Lepisosteus oculatus: one gene and its partners. The protein of the gene in region 1 purifies or fractionates together with the protein of each later gene. This does not show direct contact. Links are inferred from orthologs where the notes say so. Each region holds a gene or a part of one and is shown in the gene's direction. Other genes may lie near its edges. The genes, in order: ptpn5, mitogen-activated protein kinase 14A and mapk1.

Region 1 (5,448 bases):
CCACCACAGACATAAATCCATCCAACTGTACATGTACATTTTATGATTGTGATGTTGTGAGGGAGGCACAAATGTATTGCAAAAGCCCACAGAATGAGGCCAAGCTGGTCTACTGGAGTTAGCACACAGAGGGAGCAAGATTCCACATGAAGGAAAGGAGCTGAAGGGATAGGGGCTACATGGAATTAGTCATGCCTCTGGGCTAATGTAGAGCCTATAAGAACCGCCAGGAAGGAAAGGCATTCAGTCTGTCTAGGTTTCATCTTGGAAGGAGGGATTGCGAATGATTGTGTATGCTGGAGAACAAATGGTTTAGGCTGTACTAAAGGGTGGCACAGGTTCTGGACATACTGTATGGGCTGTGTGATTGTTTGCAGGTCAGCCAGCTGCTCTTACCCAATCATACAGTAAGCCAGGGTATCTGTAATTTACTGTGAAGACCTGGATGACATGAGTTAACTGGGTTGAATACTCTGACATGGGCAATAAATGCACATAAGAATGGGAAGAGCATAAGAAATACGCCACTATACTACCATGATGCTGGGGGTGCTGACTAGCAGAGGCTGGACAGGTCATAGTGGGAACCTGAGACCACAGACTAGGATGGGGAAACATGGGAGAACCACACAAGTATACTCACATAACATGCCATTCCCCCGAGCCCTGGGAGTTAACAATGCCCCTGGTGATTCCCCACTATCCCAGACAAGTACGCATTTATCCCAGCATGCTCTCCTGGGGCTGACATCACCAGCCCCGTTGCTTGTCTGCTTGGTGCCACATCACTGCCTGATGAGGGCGCTACAGTACTAGTCTAGTGCCTAGTGCATTTTAATTATGTTAATTTAGTGAATTTTAAACCTAGTGCGTTTTAATTCAGTTAATCTAGTGAATATGTTGTCTGGTATGTATTTTGTTTAAATCAGGTTAGTCATTTGAGACTAATCTGATCTAAAAAACAAGGTAGGTAGTGCGTTTACTGGAGCAATCAGAATGAAATATGTTCAAACAGAATCCCACTCAGCCCATTATGTACAGGTCCGAAGTCCCAAAACCTGTTCTGAAGTACTCAATGAAGTTTGGTCCTCTTTTTTTCGCTCAGCACTCACAGATGATTTATGGCCTTAAATATATCAAAATCCTAATATTGCTAGTATCCCCTTCAGCTGACTGGGTTGTGCACAATCACTGAATTTTCACTAGTGCCTCAGACTTCAAACAGCAGTTCACACCAGACTCATGCATCGTTTGACAAGAGGAGCAGGAGAAGCAGCCTTTTACTGGCTGGCTGTAAAAACAGAAGTGTATCTGGGTCTACATAAGCATGCTGATGCCTATTTGACCTTTTGTCATCTTTATCCAATGAAATTGAGTTTTATTATATTCCTACACTATGTGGGTGTAGTGAAGTGTCTATATGGAAAAGGAAGTTCGCTTAACACTACAGAAACCAGGATAAGCTCTCTCAATGAGTTGATGTGGTTCTGGTCTGGACTTTACTTTTTTAAACATGAGTTTTAATCATAATTATGTTTTTTATCCTGAACTTACTTCAAAAACAAATTACCTATGTGCTTTAACCATCAATGATGGTCAATGATTTCCTACTGTTTTGTTTTTTTTAACCTTTGACACCAACCTATAAAATATTAAGAATGACAGTATCATGATAAAAAGAGATGCATTGAGCACTGAGAATGGCTTTCAGAGACAGGCGAGTAATGAGAATCCACCCACACTAGGCTCGGAGTGGTGAGAAGGTGGGCAGACATTAGCTCACTGGGAGACGTCTGACACTGGTGCCATGAACTGCAGCTCCAACAGGAAGCCCGTTGACACCACAGAGGGGAGGAGGCAAGTTTCAAGAAGAGAAATGTAAACCGAGTGACACCTGTCCTAGACCTGTCCTGGTGGCACAGTGAAACTTACTGCATGTTGAAGCATTCACAAAAGAAGTTTACAGTTTGAGGAAAGAAACTCTTCTCCTGTACTTTGCCAGCCTTTGTATACACTTTCATTCATCCTTTTTCTAATGGCTTCATCGGGGTTGTAGAGGAGCCGGAGTCTAACCAGGCAAGCAATGGACGCAAGGCAGGGTACACCACTCCATCACAGGGCAAACAGAAACGCAGACATCAACACAAACATGCAAACCGGGGCCGGTTTCCTAGAAGTGCCATCATGTGGACTGTGGGAGGAAACTAGAACACCCGGAGGAAACTCCCATGAACACAGGGAGAACCTGCTCACTCCATGCAGATAGCAACCCAGGTCAGGAAAACATCCTGAAGTTTATGAACGTAAGTTCATGAACACAAGGACAAAAAGATGGATTTTTATCACAGATGAATTTTAACACAGCTTTTCAGCAATGTCAAGTACACTCAAGCTTCATTTTATGAATGTAATTTGTTCCTTGGAAAGTGTTCATAATGTGAAAATTCATACGTTGAAAATAAAAGTATCATTACTTTAAATATGAAATATTCCCATTTCTAAACCTATTTATAGGTTTTGAAAATCACCCAGCACCCCTTGTGTTTACCCTAACACAGTCCTGAATCTGTCAAATTAAGAACACTGTTGCTTGGTTAAGATATTAACCTTATTTACCGCGATTCCGTGATGAAGATAAAATGTGTAAAAACTCTTAAGAATACAGACACATTGACCTACAGTACAGTATGTTATGGAAGGACATGCTATGAGGATGGCATCTTCCATTTGACTATGCACCTCTGTTGTAGCACAAATCTCTTCATAACTATGAAAAGCAGGTATGAAAATGCATGTTTTATTAGAGAGAAAAATCTGTTGACACCCCATTGACGGACAGGGTCGATTTAAATTCCAAAATTGCCATTTGGGGCATTTTTTAAATAAACCCATGTTTTTCTTAGGCTACACTTGAATCCTAAAATAAACAAAAAAAATAAAAAAAGTCTTCCACATTCATTTTTTTTCCTTCAGACATGGGCACTTCTGTAGCGTCTATTTTTCGATTAATGGGCAATAGGTAAGGAATGTCTTGACAGTCAGCACTGATCGAGATTCTGAAAGAGTTAGTGGGATCAACAGGCAAACACATGTACTCCACTATACCACTGTATACTCTGTACTATACAGCACACTGTGCTGGAGGGACTCTATGTCTCAGACTGTGCATCCAGAGAGATGATCTCTCCTGTTTTTGCCTCCAGGTCTTCGGTTGTCAGGGATCATGACCCAGAACTCAATGACAGGCCCACCTGCCCAAGCTGACGCACAACAGGAGGAGCGGGGTAGAGTGGCTCAGCCCCCCCACAGCTCCCCACAGGACCCCCAGGGCCCGTGGTGGGAGAAGCTATGGAGGGCCGTGGTGACCGCTGGCTGCACCGTCTGCGTTTGTGTCTTCTCCCAAATAGCGGTAGGATCTGAACATGGCGCTCTAAGTTCTACTTGGCACAAAGCTTCATTTTGTTCTGCACGAGCGGGAAAGCAATCACAATCACACCCAAAAACTCCACTGCAGCACAGATATAAACCAGACTTTAGAAGTTCAGGTGGGGAGCTGCGTCAGCATGCTTAGGCTGCAAAGGAGCAAGTAATAGGTTTATTCCGTGCTGACAAGAGAAGAAAGAAAACACAACTTTTCAGCTGTGGAGCCTTCTTCGGGTGTGTCTAAAGCAGCCTTTATTCGCACCTTGCTCCATAAACGGAATAAGTCTAGCCAAATCCTTCTCTCCAGCCACCCCCTCAGTGGCCTAGTGTCACACTTCCCTATGTAAATTCAGCTTGTGGAAATCCCCTCAATCCATGCAGAAACAACTATATACACTAGTGAGAATTTTAATGCTTGAGGCCATTTGACTAAAGTCCCTTAGTCTTTGCAGTCCTTTCATGGGGTACAATTCCACACATATTTATTCAGTTGTTCCCCATTTTTCCTTTAATGGGGTTGTAAAAAAAGCTCAGGAGGAGGTCAAAGTCTAGTCTCATCACATCTGCCCGTCTATGTATAATCACCATGCTTCTCGCATGTTCACTCACATGTTTCATTTTCGCATTAGCCATTTGCTCTCGTCAGTCAGGCCTTACCATGCTGCTCTCTTCCTCCTGTTTGAAAGAATCCAAACTGCAGTGCTTCAGGCTCCAGCTGGAGAACCAAATCCAAAAGCAGTGTTTTCTCCCAGATGTCCTAGGGGTGAGTCCCACCATGCCGATATCCATCCATCCCTGCCCAACGGCGGCAGTCCCCTCACAACTTTCCCAACAGCCATCAGTGTTGAGTGTCTTCTCCAAGTTCATCTTTTTCCATGCAAGCCTAGCCAGTCTGACCTGTTCAATGAGTCAACGGACTCAAACCTTCTTCCCCAACTCGCTGAATGCCTTCTTCCATGCAGATCTCTGCCTTATCACGCACCTTTTCCCCACAGTTCACAGGAGTCAGTCCGACCACTGATGGCACATTTTCCCCATTTTTCCATTATGCCCTTTGCTCACGTCAGAATTAGCTCTCTTACTATACAAACCACATGCATTGTGGTTGAATGCACCTCACCATCTCAACTTCATAAACACCACCATTCTCTGCTTCATAAATTCCCTGCTGCTGCCATTAGTAGGGCTATTACCTTTAATCCACCTTTCCTCTGTGCTACACAATCATTGAAATCTCTTTACCTGATCAAAGCAATAGAACAAAACACATAACACATGTTAGCCATCATCACTAATGCCTTTGTATTTATGCCTATCAGTCCTAAACAACAAGCACTTCATGGGGTGTGTTGGCAAGACAGGTATGATTTCACAGCCCAACTCAATTTCAAGTGCTGCACCAGCTCAGTCCTCTGTTGGCTCATCCCTCATTTAGCTAGAGCTCTTTCTGTCTAGAATTTTTAAGATGTCTGAGTTCCCTTCAGCACATTCTTTACCACAGAAATTATTCTCCTCCTCTGGAGCTCTAGGGTGTTCAGATCTTAACCTTTCTCACATCCTTGCCACAAGCCATGTCTGTGCTAACATGATTCTCCTCGCTTTCTTTGGCTTTTATTCAATGCAAGCACTTTTATACCTACTCAGTCACTGAAACAAAGCTGCTTGCATCTCTGTCACTTATCTTCTTGACCTTGACTCTTCTGTAAAACCTCAGCAGCACTGTGTTAACCCAGACTTCTACTGATGGTGAACTGAAGACTGAGATCCTGTCTCTGAAGCGATGGCATGCATCACTTTTCTTTAATGACTGCTTTCTGCGACTTGGATCTCCATCACGCCCCTGGCGCCACACTGCCCACATTTCAAGTCTTACAGTAGAAAAGAATTTGCATCCCTCTGGCCTCATGAATTTTCTAACATTTCTGTATTGTGTTTCGCTAACTTTTCCTTTATGTCATCATTCTTCCTTGGGGTCCTGATCTGTCCTGATCCACTCCGTCTGTAGTAGACATTTTAAATAAAAAC
Region 2 (5,448 bases), on another chromosome or scaffold:
TTTTAATTTCCCAGGTTGTCCATTTCCTTCCTTTCCGTTGTGGGACGCACACATCCTTTGTGCGTCGGGAGGAATGTTTTTTTGAACAAATAAATTAACACGATCTTATCCCACGGGCTGTGCGTGTAACGATCATCCCATAGGAAACATCTGTGAAGTCTGAAGAATGAGAAAGGAATTTTCGACCTCCTCCCAATATTAACTGGAATCATTACTGTATTATTATTACTATTTTATTATGGGCCAGTGCTTATTAGTTCACACCCTTTCCATGGGTATTTACACTGTTCAAAATGTTTAACATTGATTGTAGTTACAAATGGAAACTTTGGAATTAAAATTAAATACAACTGACAGTTAAATTACATTCATGGCCAGCAGGATGACACCGATGAAGAAGGAATAATAATTCCTTACACTTATATAGCACTCTTCTGCAAACTCAATTTAAAGCTCTTCGATGTAATGGGGACTCCCCTTCACCACCACCAATGTGTAGCCCCACCTGGATGATGCAACGGCAGTCAAAGTGCACCAGTACACTCACCACACATCAGCTATCAGCAAGAAAGCAATTCATAGATGGGTATTATTAGGAGTCCATGATTGGTAAAGGCGAGGGGGGACTTTGGCCAGGACACTGGGGTAACACCCCTACTCTTTTCAAGAAACACCCTGGGATTTTTACTTACCACAAAGAGACGAGACCCTGGTTTTATGTCTCATATAGGACGGTGAAGGACAGCACCTATATTACAGTAGTGTCCCAATCACTATACTGGGGCATTAGGACCCACTGAGACCACAGGGTGGGCGCCCCCTACTGGTCCCATTAGCACCAGTTCCAGCAGCAACCTTAGTTTTCCCAGGAGATCCCCCATCCAGGTACTGACCATGCTCACACCTGCATACCGTCACTGGTTTACCAGTTGGGGCTTGCAGGGTGATATGGCTGCTGGGAAAGAGTGAACCAAGATCTCAAGTGAGTATTTTAGCAGCCCACTGAAAAGACACATGAAGTGTTGCAGTCTGTCCTCCATCCAACTCAAGCTTAACTGCGAGCTTTGGTGTTTCTTGAGCCTTTTTGAACTTGCAACCCCCTTCACAGTTTAAAACTGACGTCAGGGAATGAGCCCCAGCTTCAATCCCCGGTGGCTGTAAACATGTAATTTAAATCGTTCTCCGTGTTTTCCTAAAAATGTTAAGAATAATTCTGCTCTAGACAGACTAACGGAAAACAAAGGGGGTAACACTGCAATTTTCCTTTCTTAGTAATCGTTCTGGAACACACTTTTTATAGATCTGGAAAACAAGCAAATGTGGACTCCCGGCTTCGGTTTCTCCACTACTTTAAATCAATGCTGTGCAATACGATGAGTCAAAAGTAAATTCGTATGGATTAATTTTCCACAAGCACGGGGAAATCTGAAGGTATTTTAGTTTTTGTACTCGCGTTCTGTTTTCCTATAGTAATGACAATAGGACAAAACTACATGCTTTGACCTCGCAGAAAATGTAGTCGAGCAGAGAGAGGCTGGCAACTCGATCTTTCTGGAAGGTATTCGTGTCGGAAACTTGGCTGTACCTAAAAAAGAATTGGAAGCTTAAAACAAGCACCGAAAACAAAAGCGAATAACTACATCAGCATCGTTGTTTTTTTTCTGTGTAGCGGGGAAATTCCGGGATTAAGTACGTTTTTCGCTTTTTTTTTTGTTTGTTTCAAAGCGTGAAGCCCTCATCTTGAGCACCCCTACGCCGGCTCGGCCTCCTCGCGCGAGACGCGAGACTTGCGTGTCTGGGCCGAGCTGTGGGTAGTGACGGGAGCGCGCCACTGCAGGAGGAGACTGAGAGAAAGCCCACGGCGGACGGGTCTTTACTCCACTCAAACTTGAGGACTGAAGGGGGAAAAAAAAAAGAGAAAGTGTAGAGGGCAAATCGTTTCAACATTGCAGCGGGCTCAAATTTGCATTTGCAACCAGAGTTTTGTTTGCTTGTCCTTTATATTCGAGCTCAACCCGGTGCGCTCCTTTAATTCCTGGGTTGACGTTGTTTTTTTTTTTAGATTTTTACTTCAACTTACATCTTTTGATTTAAGTGGGGGAAGGAGAAGTTAACTTGATTGACTGCGTGGTGCAGCGGGACTGGCTGTTCTGCAGGAATGTCGCAGAAAGAAAGACCCACTTTCTACCGACAGGAGCTGAACAAGACGATATGGGAGGTCCCGGAACGGTACCAAAGTCTTAGCCCAGTCGGCTCTGGGGCTTACGGATCAGTGTGGTAAATTACTTACTTTTATCACTTCGTGTTATTATTGCGTTTTAATGTGTTTCAAGCGTAGTGTATTTGCACAACTCATTGCGTTATGTTTGGCATCGCTTATTGCAGGCCTGATGGTACATTCTTGCTCAATCAAAGCAACGAATCACAGGCAGGCAGGCAGGCCCTTCTCTGCATGGAGAGATCGTGGTTTCGCGAGTTACGCAAAATAGGTTCAGGACCCTGACCCAGTGAAAGATTTCTGCACTTTTTTTTTTCGCAGCCCGTTGTTTCTGGGGGCTCGGTGTGCAACTGTGTTGCTCCCCATCCCTTTGAATGGCGTGTGTTATTTACACGAGATCCGTGAATCGCACGTCTCACTTTTTATTTTAACCTGCGCCTGGTCAGAGTTTTCTCATAACCCGTTGTGAATTTCCTGTGCTCTCCTTCAAATCCCCAGTTTCGTTAAACTTTTTGTTTAAAAAAATGCAGTTTCCGGGAAGCACTGACGCGCCTTTTGCAGTTCTGCCAAATCTTAAGTGTTTTGCATAGGGTTTCTCAATTGTAACTCCCTAGTGGTTGAATGGGGCTTGTCTGGAGTATTTTCTTTTGACTAGATTGTATCTGTGTCGGATCGTTTTTATTTTTATTTTGTTGCGCAGGACAGAAGTAGCCCTTTGTATGTCGTGGTGCAATTGCAGAACGTTGAGTTGAGCACGATTGCTTTCTGGAGACTTTTTGTTGAAGCCCCGTCATTTATTGTTGCAGTTGCAGTCCCTAGTTAATCTTTCAGTACAGAACGATTTGCACCCGTCTACTGACCCGAAGAGACGCTTTATCATGGACAAACAAAACCAACCACCCGGGAGTGATAAGCTGTGTCGTGTTGGGGGCTGAAATGTGACTCGCACATGACCCCCAGCGACAGGCCGCTTTCTGTTGCCAGATATTTTCATATCTTTCCCAGGGCTGGGTAACGGAAAGCATCAGCTCAGCTGGAAAAGTAACGCGACGGGGTTTCTTCTCATTCACTTGAGAATGACTGTTGTTTACAGATAGCAGTATTAGCATTGCGATTCTGTCAAGAACAGGATGCGCCTCTCACTGAAGTGCACAAATGTAGTTTCATGTTTTTACGCAACATATTAGGAGTAATCGGTTTATAATGTAGAGGGGGCTTCAAGGCAGTGTTGTTATAAAAAAACATCGTGACACTGCGCATCGTTGGTTCTGTTCAGTGCCTTTTCTAATACTTTCAAGTAGACATGACGGTTTCATCATCTTTCTTGGCAAAGGAACACGATCAACTTCTTTTTTTTTTTACTGCGTCGAAACTCATTTCCTAAGTCTGGGTTAACGTCGCTCTCCGGGAATGAAACGTCAAGTTCGCGAATTCCTCAACCGCACCGCCCATGTTTTGAATTATACTGTGAGGTTTACCTCGGCCATTGCATAAGACATATTGACCGTGTACACATGACCAAAACCTCGACATAGCCTTTGACTTGTATATTATGACTCGGCGTGCGCGTACAGTTCAGAGCCTGACAGATGCCTGAGGAATTTTCAAGCGTTTGTCCCTCTCCATTCTTCAGTGTTTCCTCTCCTGAGCCTCCATGTGCTTTTATTTTCTGTAGCCTGATCGTATTGTATGCAGCAGTCGTCGGTTGAGGTAAGACTGCATAATGAAGTCGCCTCGGAATTGCCTGCTGGTATGAGTCACCGGCTGGAGGATTAGTTGGAACCATCCGGCTGACTGCTCGGCGCGTCACGTACAGCGCAAGACCTCGTCTCCTTTCCGAAATGAATTGCAGATGTCGCGCCAGTTAGTTTGCCGTGGAGTGATGGAAAGCATCGTTTTATCTTTGGTTTCCCCGGGAAAGGGATCTGCCAGCTGAGGCGCGCATACCTCCTTGCTTGTGTGTGAGAAGGGGCACCTCGAATTCTTTCTCTCTCCTGCTGTTCCCAGCCTTCACTGAGAGGACGGTGTGCTGTGGGTCCCGCTGCAATGACATGCAAAGTGTGCCTTGACGCAAGTGAGAGAATAGGAGTGCACGCATTCCTCGTGGTAGTGTTAGCAGCTGTGTGGCAGCCTGAGGAGACCGAGCAGGATTTATGTTTGTGAAGCTTGTGGGAATGTGGCGGTGTGGAACAAGCTACCCAGCCACGTGGGTGAAGCCGATACTCTGGCTTCTTTCAAGAAACTGCTGGATGAGATTCTTAGTGCAGTTAGCCAAGCACCACCATATGGGCCAGAGGACCCGACTGGCCTATTTCTCACTTGTGTCCTTTCTGCTGTTCACATGACTTAGCTGTCCCTTTTCTGTAGCAGAATAAAACCAGCAGCATTCCTGTTGGTGGTCTTCGCTTCCATTCGTCTCCGTTTTCTCAAAGGCTGTCTTGCGTCAGCAGAGAGCCTTGTTCCGATCCTGGGCTCTGTCAAAGTGGACGCAGTCCTAAACTGCTGCAGTGAAGACCTTATCTCAGCTAGTGACTAAAAGTGTATCTTCTGTCGCTTGAACTCTGCCCTGTTTTAAGCAATGCTGAAGAAGGGACATGGCCAATATCTGCACAGAAACTGGTAAGGCTCCTGTTGCATAGTAGTTTGAGCTGCTGCAGGTTTTCCTAGCAAGGAAGCTCGTGCTTCAGTGCTGATGGATGCGAGGGCTATATTGTGTGGAACCGTGGGAGTTTTCTAGCCCGTGCCAGGCACTGTGTGTGGAAGCAACGCAGCGGAGAACCCCAGCTGGTGCCACCAGAGAGCTCACAGCAGGTGCTATCGTTGAGGTTTTTTTAGCCTCAGCCCTTCGCACAAGGTTAAGCAGAGCTGGGCTTGTTCGAGGAAAGTCTCAAAGCACTGTGGGAGAATCTGTGCTTGGGGTCAGGAGAACCCCTAGAGGAGCAGTCTTTGATTCATGTGATTTGCAAGAAATCCCCCCCCCCCCCCCCCCCCCCCCAGTCCTGCTGTCATTTCAAAACCAGGCAGTTGGTAGCTTAAGGCCATTGCTTACGGTACATTAAAGAACTAGTTTCTGTACCAAGCAGCACGACTGCACCTGTTTTTCTTAAACAGGCCTAAGGAGGGTCAACACATGTACCAATAATAGTACAATTCACTTGTTGCTTTGTGTGTCCAATGAGGGTGGGGGACAAACCTGGCTTTGTGACATTCTGTGCTGCTATGTGCGGGAG
Region 3 (5,448 bases), on another chromosome or scaffold:
TTAAGAAACTCCACTTAAAGCACTTTACAGGTAACTCCACCACCAGTGTGCAGCCCCACCCGGATGATGCGACAGCAGCCAGAGTGCACCAGTACACTCCCCACACACAGGAGCTAAATTGGGAGGAGAGCAGAGTGATGGAGCCAGTTCAGAGATGGGGATTATTAAGAGGCCATGATGGGTAAAGGCCAGGGGGAAATTTGGCCAGGACACAAGGGTAACACCCCTACTCTTTTCGAGAAACACCCTGGGATATTTAATGACCACAGAGAGTTGGGACCTGGGTTTTATGTCTCATCTTAAGGACGGTGGCTTTTTTCAGTAGATTGTCCCCGTCACTGTACTGGGGCATTAGGACACACACAGACCGCAGGGTGAGCGCCCCCTACTGCTCCCACTAACACCTCTTCCAGCCTCAGCTTTCCCAGGAGTCTCCCCTCTATAAGAAAAGACAAATCAAACGGCTTCAAGGAGCCACTTTTCAAAGTGAACTTCTTTGGCACAAATGCGCTTATAGTTTCACTGCCACGGCGCAAGTAATAGTTAAATTATATACTTTAGTAACGCTTTTCATTTTAAATAACGAGGTAAATCCCAGGCATGATAAAACACGAAACATACTAAATTCTCTACTGGTTTCCTTCTCTAAGTTAGATTCTTACTAGCAACCAACTGCTACAGGGCTGAACTGGCCATTCCAGACAAAACCGAGAACGACAGAGGAAACGCTCCCCGATTTTTTTTATGCCTTCTGATGTCTTTTTTGCAGATCTCTCCGTCCGACAGGCGGGTGGCGGCGGTGTGTAGGAACCAGCTCGTGTTTACAGGCTCCGAAAGGGCCGTGTAATCATTTTCTCTGAGTCACGTTTCCTGCGACTTCGGGCAAAGCAGATCCTCTTGTGTCACTCTGGGGGGATGACGAACTGGGGGAAATCTCTGCAGTGGGCTCTGTTGCATTTCCATCGGTGCCAAACGACAGGATTTTCTTGGCCTTTTTTTTTAGATATCATTGACCGCTCCCGCAGGTCTTGCGGTTGATCTCACTGTGTATCATCGGCGGCTTGACTCCGCCCTGCCCAGATCTGACAGATTAAAAAGTGGCGTTATCAGATTGAATCACATCTTCTTTTTTTTTTACGCTGTATTATCGTTTCTCACTGGCGAAAACCATCACCCGCTGTACGCGTAAAGATAACTACAAAATGCAGTGTTCGTGCAGTCCATCTCCAAATGAAAACAATTCTAACAGAAATCATTAATTCGGATATACGAACGGAATTCTCATATGCAATATGATTTCAGGGAAACAGAAAATAAAAGCGATACAAAAACATAGTTGTCAAAGAGACTCCGGGACAGTTTAAATGCACTTTTGTACAGCAACTCTGCTCTTCCATGAATTAAATCTTGAACTCTGGATTGGGCCATCAATTAGAATCGGCTCCTGTCCAGTTGCAAAAAAAAAACAATAATTGATTCAGCTCCTGGTTGCTCCAGAGCCGAGCAGTCCCTTGCTGTCTGTCCGAGAAGACCAGAGACCCCCAGCCGGCGTGACAGGCTCCCCCGTCCCCGCGGCGCAAGCGCACCCCCCTCACGTGACCGAGTCCTCGCTCTCGCCCCTGCGCTCCCCGGTCACATGACCAGCCCGTTATTTCCTGCAGTGGAGCTGCCTGCCTGCCGCAGTCTGCGGGCGAGTCTACAAGGTTGCTAGACTGTAGCAAAGTAATCCACGGCTCGTCTCCCCCTCCCTCTCACCATCCTGACAGGCGATCAACAGGCCGTACGGTTTCTTCGGCTCCTGGGACTGAAAGCTCGTTTGTTCAGGTTTTTTTTTTCCGGCCCCTTCCCCTTCCTCGTAGCTAGGACTTTTTCTTCCCAGATTTTCTGTTTTTTTTCCTCTTCTCCCACCCATCCTTCTGCGTGTGTGTGTGGGCAGCTAGTTAACAATGGCGACAGCCGCGGTATCTGGTGCTGCAGGCGGCGCCCCCAACACCGGATCGGGAGCCGAGCTGGTCCGTGGACAGGCCTTCGATGTGGGTCCCCGCTACAGCAACCTGTCCTATATCGGCGAGGGGGCCTACGGCATGGTGTGGTAAGTTGTGTTCGGGGGCCGGGGGGGCTGGACGCCACGGCCGCGGTGTCTTGAGTCTCTCGGCGCTGGGTGCTGTGTGCACGGCCGGGCGAGAGAGGCTCCAGACCTGCCGGCGGAGGAGAGGGGGGAAACTCAGTTCGTGCTACACATGCATGCAAAGTTTTTTTTTTTACGGTTTTTCTCCGTCCGCGCTGTCGGGGAAGCTCGCTCGGTGTCGGGACTCGCCGCCGTCGTACTTGTTGATGGAGCCGTGAGGCTGACGGACCCCGAGAGTGAGAGAGAGAGAGGTCTGCGAGAGCCGGATTGGGAATGTTGGGTTTTTTTTTGTTCCGATGTGTCATTGATTTTCACTTTTCAATGCAGAGAAGGGCAACACCCTTTGCCGTAAGGGGTGTAGCTAGCGGATTACAACTCGGAGCCGCCTGTGCTTGGAGCCGGCTCGAACTCTCGGGTGCTATATCATTGCTGCTTGTGTCCGCCGTGTTGTTTATTAAACAACAACATCTTTATTAAACAACAAATGCTGAAATGTTACTTGACGACGTCGCGTTTCCCGGTAAACGCGCATTATTGATATCCGTTAGCGGCTTGAAGCCCAATACCTATGGAAAGCACACCCCAAGTTTTGACAGCCGGGCAGTGGGCGATCCAGTCGGGGGGGGGGGGGGGGGGGTAGTTTTATCCAGATGTGCGCCGTTTCTGGGAACGAGCATCTCCCCGTGTCCCGCCTTATCAATCAGTGTGTTCAGTTGATAGCGCATAAATCGCTGCCTCTTTCCCCCTTGGAGGAGGGCGAGGCTCGTCGTTTGCTGCGTCGCTGTGGGGTATAGGGTGTCACACTTGGCGGCATCCCCTCGTTGGGGCATCTAAGAGTTGAATCCCACCCCCCCTCGGAGAGATCGCTTGTTGCATTTTCCGAGTTGCAGGTAAGGCGATCTCCAGCGCGAGCGGCAATTCATGGGAATGGGAAGGTGCTGATTGGCGGCCCGGCGTCACGAGCTGCGGGGAGCTCTCGCGCGGAGCGCGGCGGAATGTCCGCCCGTGTCCGCGGGGCGTGTGCGTGTGCGCGCCGGTGCCCCCGGCTGCCCACCCGAACCCAGAGGGGTCTCGGCGCAGCTCGGCTTCCTGTGCCGGAGTCGAGACGGCCGCCGGGGTCACAGCGATGCCGGTTCCGGGCGAATTTTGTTTTTGTTTTTATTTTTTACAAAAACTGTTCACCCTAGTGATTTGGAAGAAGGGGCTGGGTTTATCGAGAACGCCTTTGAAACAAGTCCCTTTTCCCGGAGTGAGTGCAGATCGCCACAAGCGATATCACTCTGTACCACGCAGTTAAGCCACGCCTAGCGATATTTATAGGAAGAGGGACGGGCCTACCTAGTTCAGCAGACAGGAGCGCGATTTATACCCCCACAAACTGAATGAATCAAAGCAGACCCGTCAGGTAATAATGTTTTGGTCCTTCGCAGCTGTGTTGCAATCGGTTCCTAGTGAATAGAAGGGTAGGAGAATGTGTCAGCGGTTTTGCTTTGTGAAAGGGGAAGGGTGCGGTTTGTGGAGTTCGTGCATCGTGCCACAGGTGTGGCGTTGTGTGAGAATGCTCTGGCCTCTTCATTAGTCCGGCCGTCACAGGTGTTCCCGAAGTTCAGATTCCTTTTCCTGATGCAGTGCGTATGCATATTCTGTGCAGCACAGTAGAGTCCCCAATAAGATGCAAGAGCCTCAAAATTTTAAAATTAAAAAAAATTCGGGACTTAGATGACCAGTTCTGCCTTGAAATGAGATTTTCACTTTTTGTCCTTTCAGGTGCGTAATATCAATTTTATCTTCGCTCCTTAACTCTTCTGAGTGATGCGTTAGAAACCGCTGGTGTGCAGGGTGCTGCTCAGTGGTTAAAGAAACCAGGATTTATCAGATGTAGAGACAGGAAATTAAGCAATGATCCTATTATACACAGCCTTGTTTGAACCTTTCTGTCGTCCAGTGGGTTTTATTTACCAGCTGCCTGCTGTACATCTAAGTTGCTGAGAGCGTCCATCTTTGGTGGCATTTATGAGGAGGCTCAGCGTTAAAAGCAAATGAGATATCGACTGCCTGAACTGATACCTCCCTCCTTTTGATGAAGATAATTGCATCTTAGGACGTAAAGAGACTCCAGAGGTTTTGTCTGCCTTCTGTGTGCAAATGCCCATGACCTGTGCGGTCTCGCAGCCTGCTTTGCCAGATCTCTTTTCGTTAGACCTTACTTTGCATCCAAGCGGAAGAAAATGAGAGATCCAACTAGCTAAGAGAGCACTGGCAGGCGCAGTGCATGTGTTATCTGAGCAGGAAGCTGAGGGTGTTGATAGAATGCATGCTTCACTGCAACAAAAACAAAGGGATATACAGTGTGGGGGGTTGTCAAATGAGTAATCTTGAAGTGATGGAGGTTCTGTGAAATGTGCTCGCAGGAAGTACGCAGGTCCTTCATTGCTGTGGATGCTGGGGAACGTTTCTCGTTGATGCTCTGCAGAGATGCAATCTGGGAGCATCTTGGATAGGAGTATGAAAATCGCGAAATGATTGATCTGAAGCGTGGAGGCGCCACACGGCGATTCTATGTTCTTGGTGAGGCCTTGCAGGGGCCCTGTAGTCGGTGAGGAGACTGTAAAACAAACGAGCGAAGGGAAAGACAAGGGGCAGCCAGTTGCCAGTCAGGCGCAGAAGGGGTCCGTCCTTCTGCCTGGGCTGTAGAGGCCGGTCTCGCCCAACAGTCGCGCGGGCCTTCGTCGGCCAGCCGGCGCCTGGAGAGACCGCGCAGAGGTCCTCCGAGGCGAGCCCCTGCCCCCTGGGGCGACAACCGGTGGGGAAAACCTGCCGTTTCTCTTCACCTGCCACCTCCCCCATTTCCCTGATAGTCCGGCGGCCTGCTGGGGAAAGGGTGGTCACTTTTTCTAAAATAAAATAAAACCGGATCATCCCTTAAGCAGGTTTATAACATCGAGCACATTCTTTTACAGTGTTGTGTTTTAGGGATGCGGGCATATGGTTTTTAACTATCTAGATTTCTTTACCAGAGAGAGAGGGGAAAAAAAACGTGCCCATTATGCAGAGTTCTTAAATGCTAACAATTATGGACAGGTTTGGAGTCCAGTGTAGCTGTCCCAGTGCACGTCACTTCAGCTTGCTTAATGAGAAGTACAGTGCATTGCTGTCCGTGTGGTACACTATACTTTTGCCAAATAAAGGTTTGTCGCTGGATAATTTGCTTCACCAGGGCCTCGCAGAGCAGAACTGTCCTGCTTTGTTGATGTAGAGCAATATGGTCTTAATATTCAGTCTCCCTGGAGGAGCTCGGCCCTCTCTGGAAGTCGCGGTTG

What was found.
Region 2: the proteins of ptpn5 (region 1) and mitogen-activated protein kinase 14A purify together in Homo sapiens (affinity purification with mass spectrometry; 3 studies listed by BioGRID and IntAct, with this or other methods). This does not show direct contact. The link is inferred for Lepisosteus oculatus from reciprocal best matches to the Homo sapiens genes PTPN5 and MAPK14.
Region 3: the proteins of ptpn5 (region 1) and mapk1 purify together in Homo sapiens (affinity purification with mass spectrometry; 4 studies listed by BioGRID and IntAct, with this or other methods). This does not show direct contact. The link is inferred for Lepisosteus oculatus from reciprocal best matches to the Homo sapiens genes PTPN5 and MAPK1.

Annotation. Positions count from the first base shown.
Region 1 is NC_090716.1:13,384,188-13,389,635, forward strand, and holds the start of ptpn5 (tyrosine-protein phosphatase non-receptor type 5), read left to right. Parts: upstream 1-1,916; 5' UTR 1,917-2,228; coding exon 2,229-2,274; intron 2,275-3,203; coding exon 3,204-3,409; intron 3,410-4,109; exon of another isoform or gene 4,110-4,186; intron 4,187-5,448. UniProt on the Homo sapiens protein: May regulate the activity of several effector molecules involved in synaptic plasticity and neuronal cell survival, including MAPKs, Src family kinases and NMDA receptors.
Region 2 is NC_090700.1:36,016,449-36,021,896, reverse strand, and holds the start of mitogen-activated protein kinase 14A, read left to right. Parts: upstream 1-1,575; 5' UTR 1,576-2,158; coding exon 2,159-2,277; intron 2,278-5,448. UniProt on the Homo sapiens protein: Serine/threonine kinase which acts as an essential component of the MAP kinase signal transduction pathway.
Region 3 is NC_090717.1:1,961,966-1,967,413, reverse strand, and holds the start of mapk1 (mitogen-activated protein kinase 1), read left to right. Parts: upstream 1-1,643; 5' UTR 1,644-1,946; coding exon 1,947-2,092; intron 2,093-3,223; exon of another isoform or gene 3,224-3,510; coding exon of another isoform or gene 3,511-3,533; intron 3,534-5,448. UniProt on the Homo sapiens protein: Serine/threonine kinase which acts as an essential component of the MAP kinase signal transduction pathway. MAPK1/ERK2 and MAPK3/ERK1 are the 2 MAPKs which play an important role in the MAPK/ERK cascade.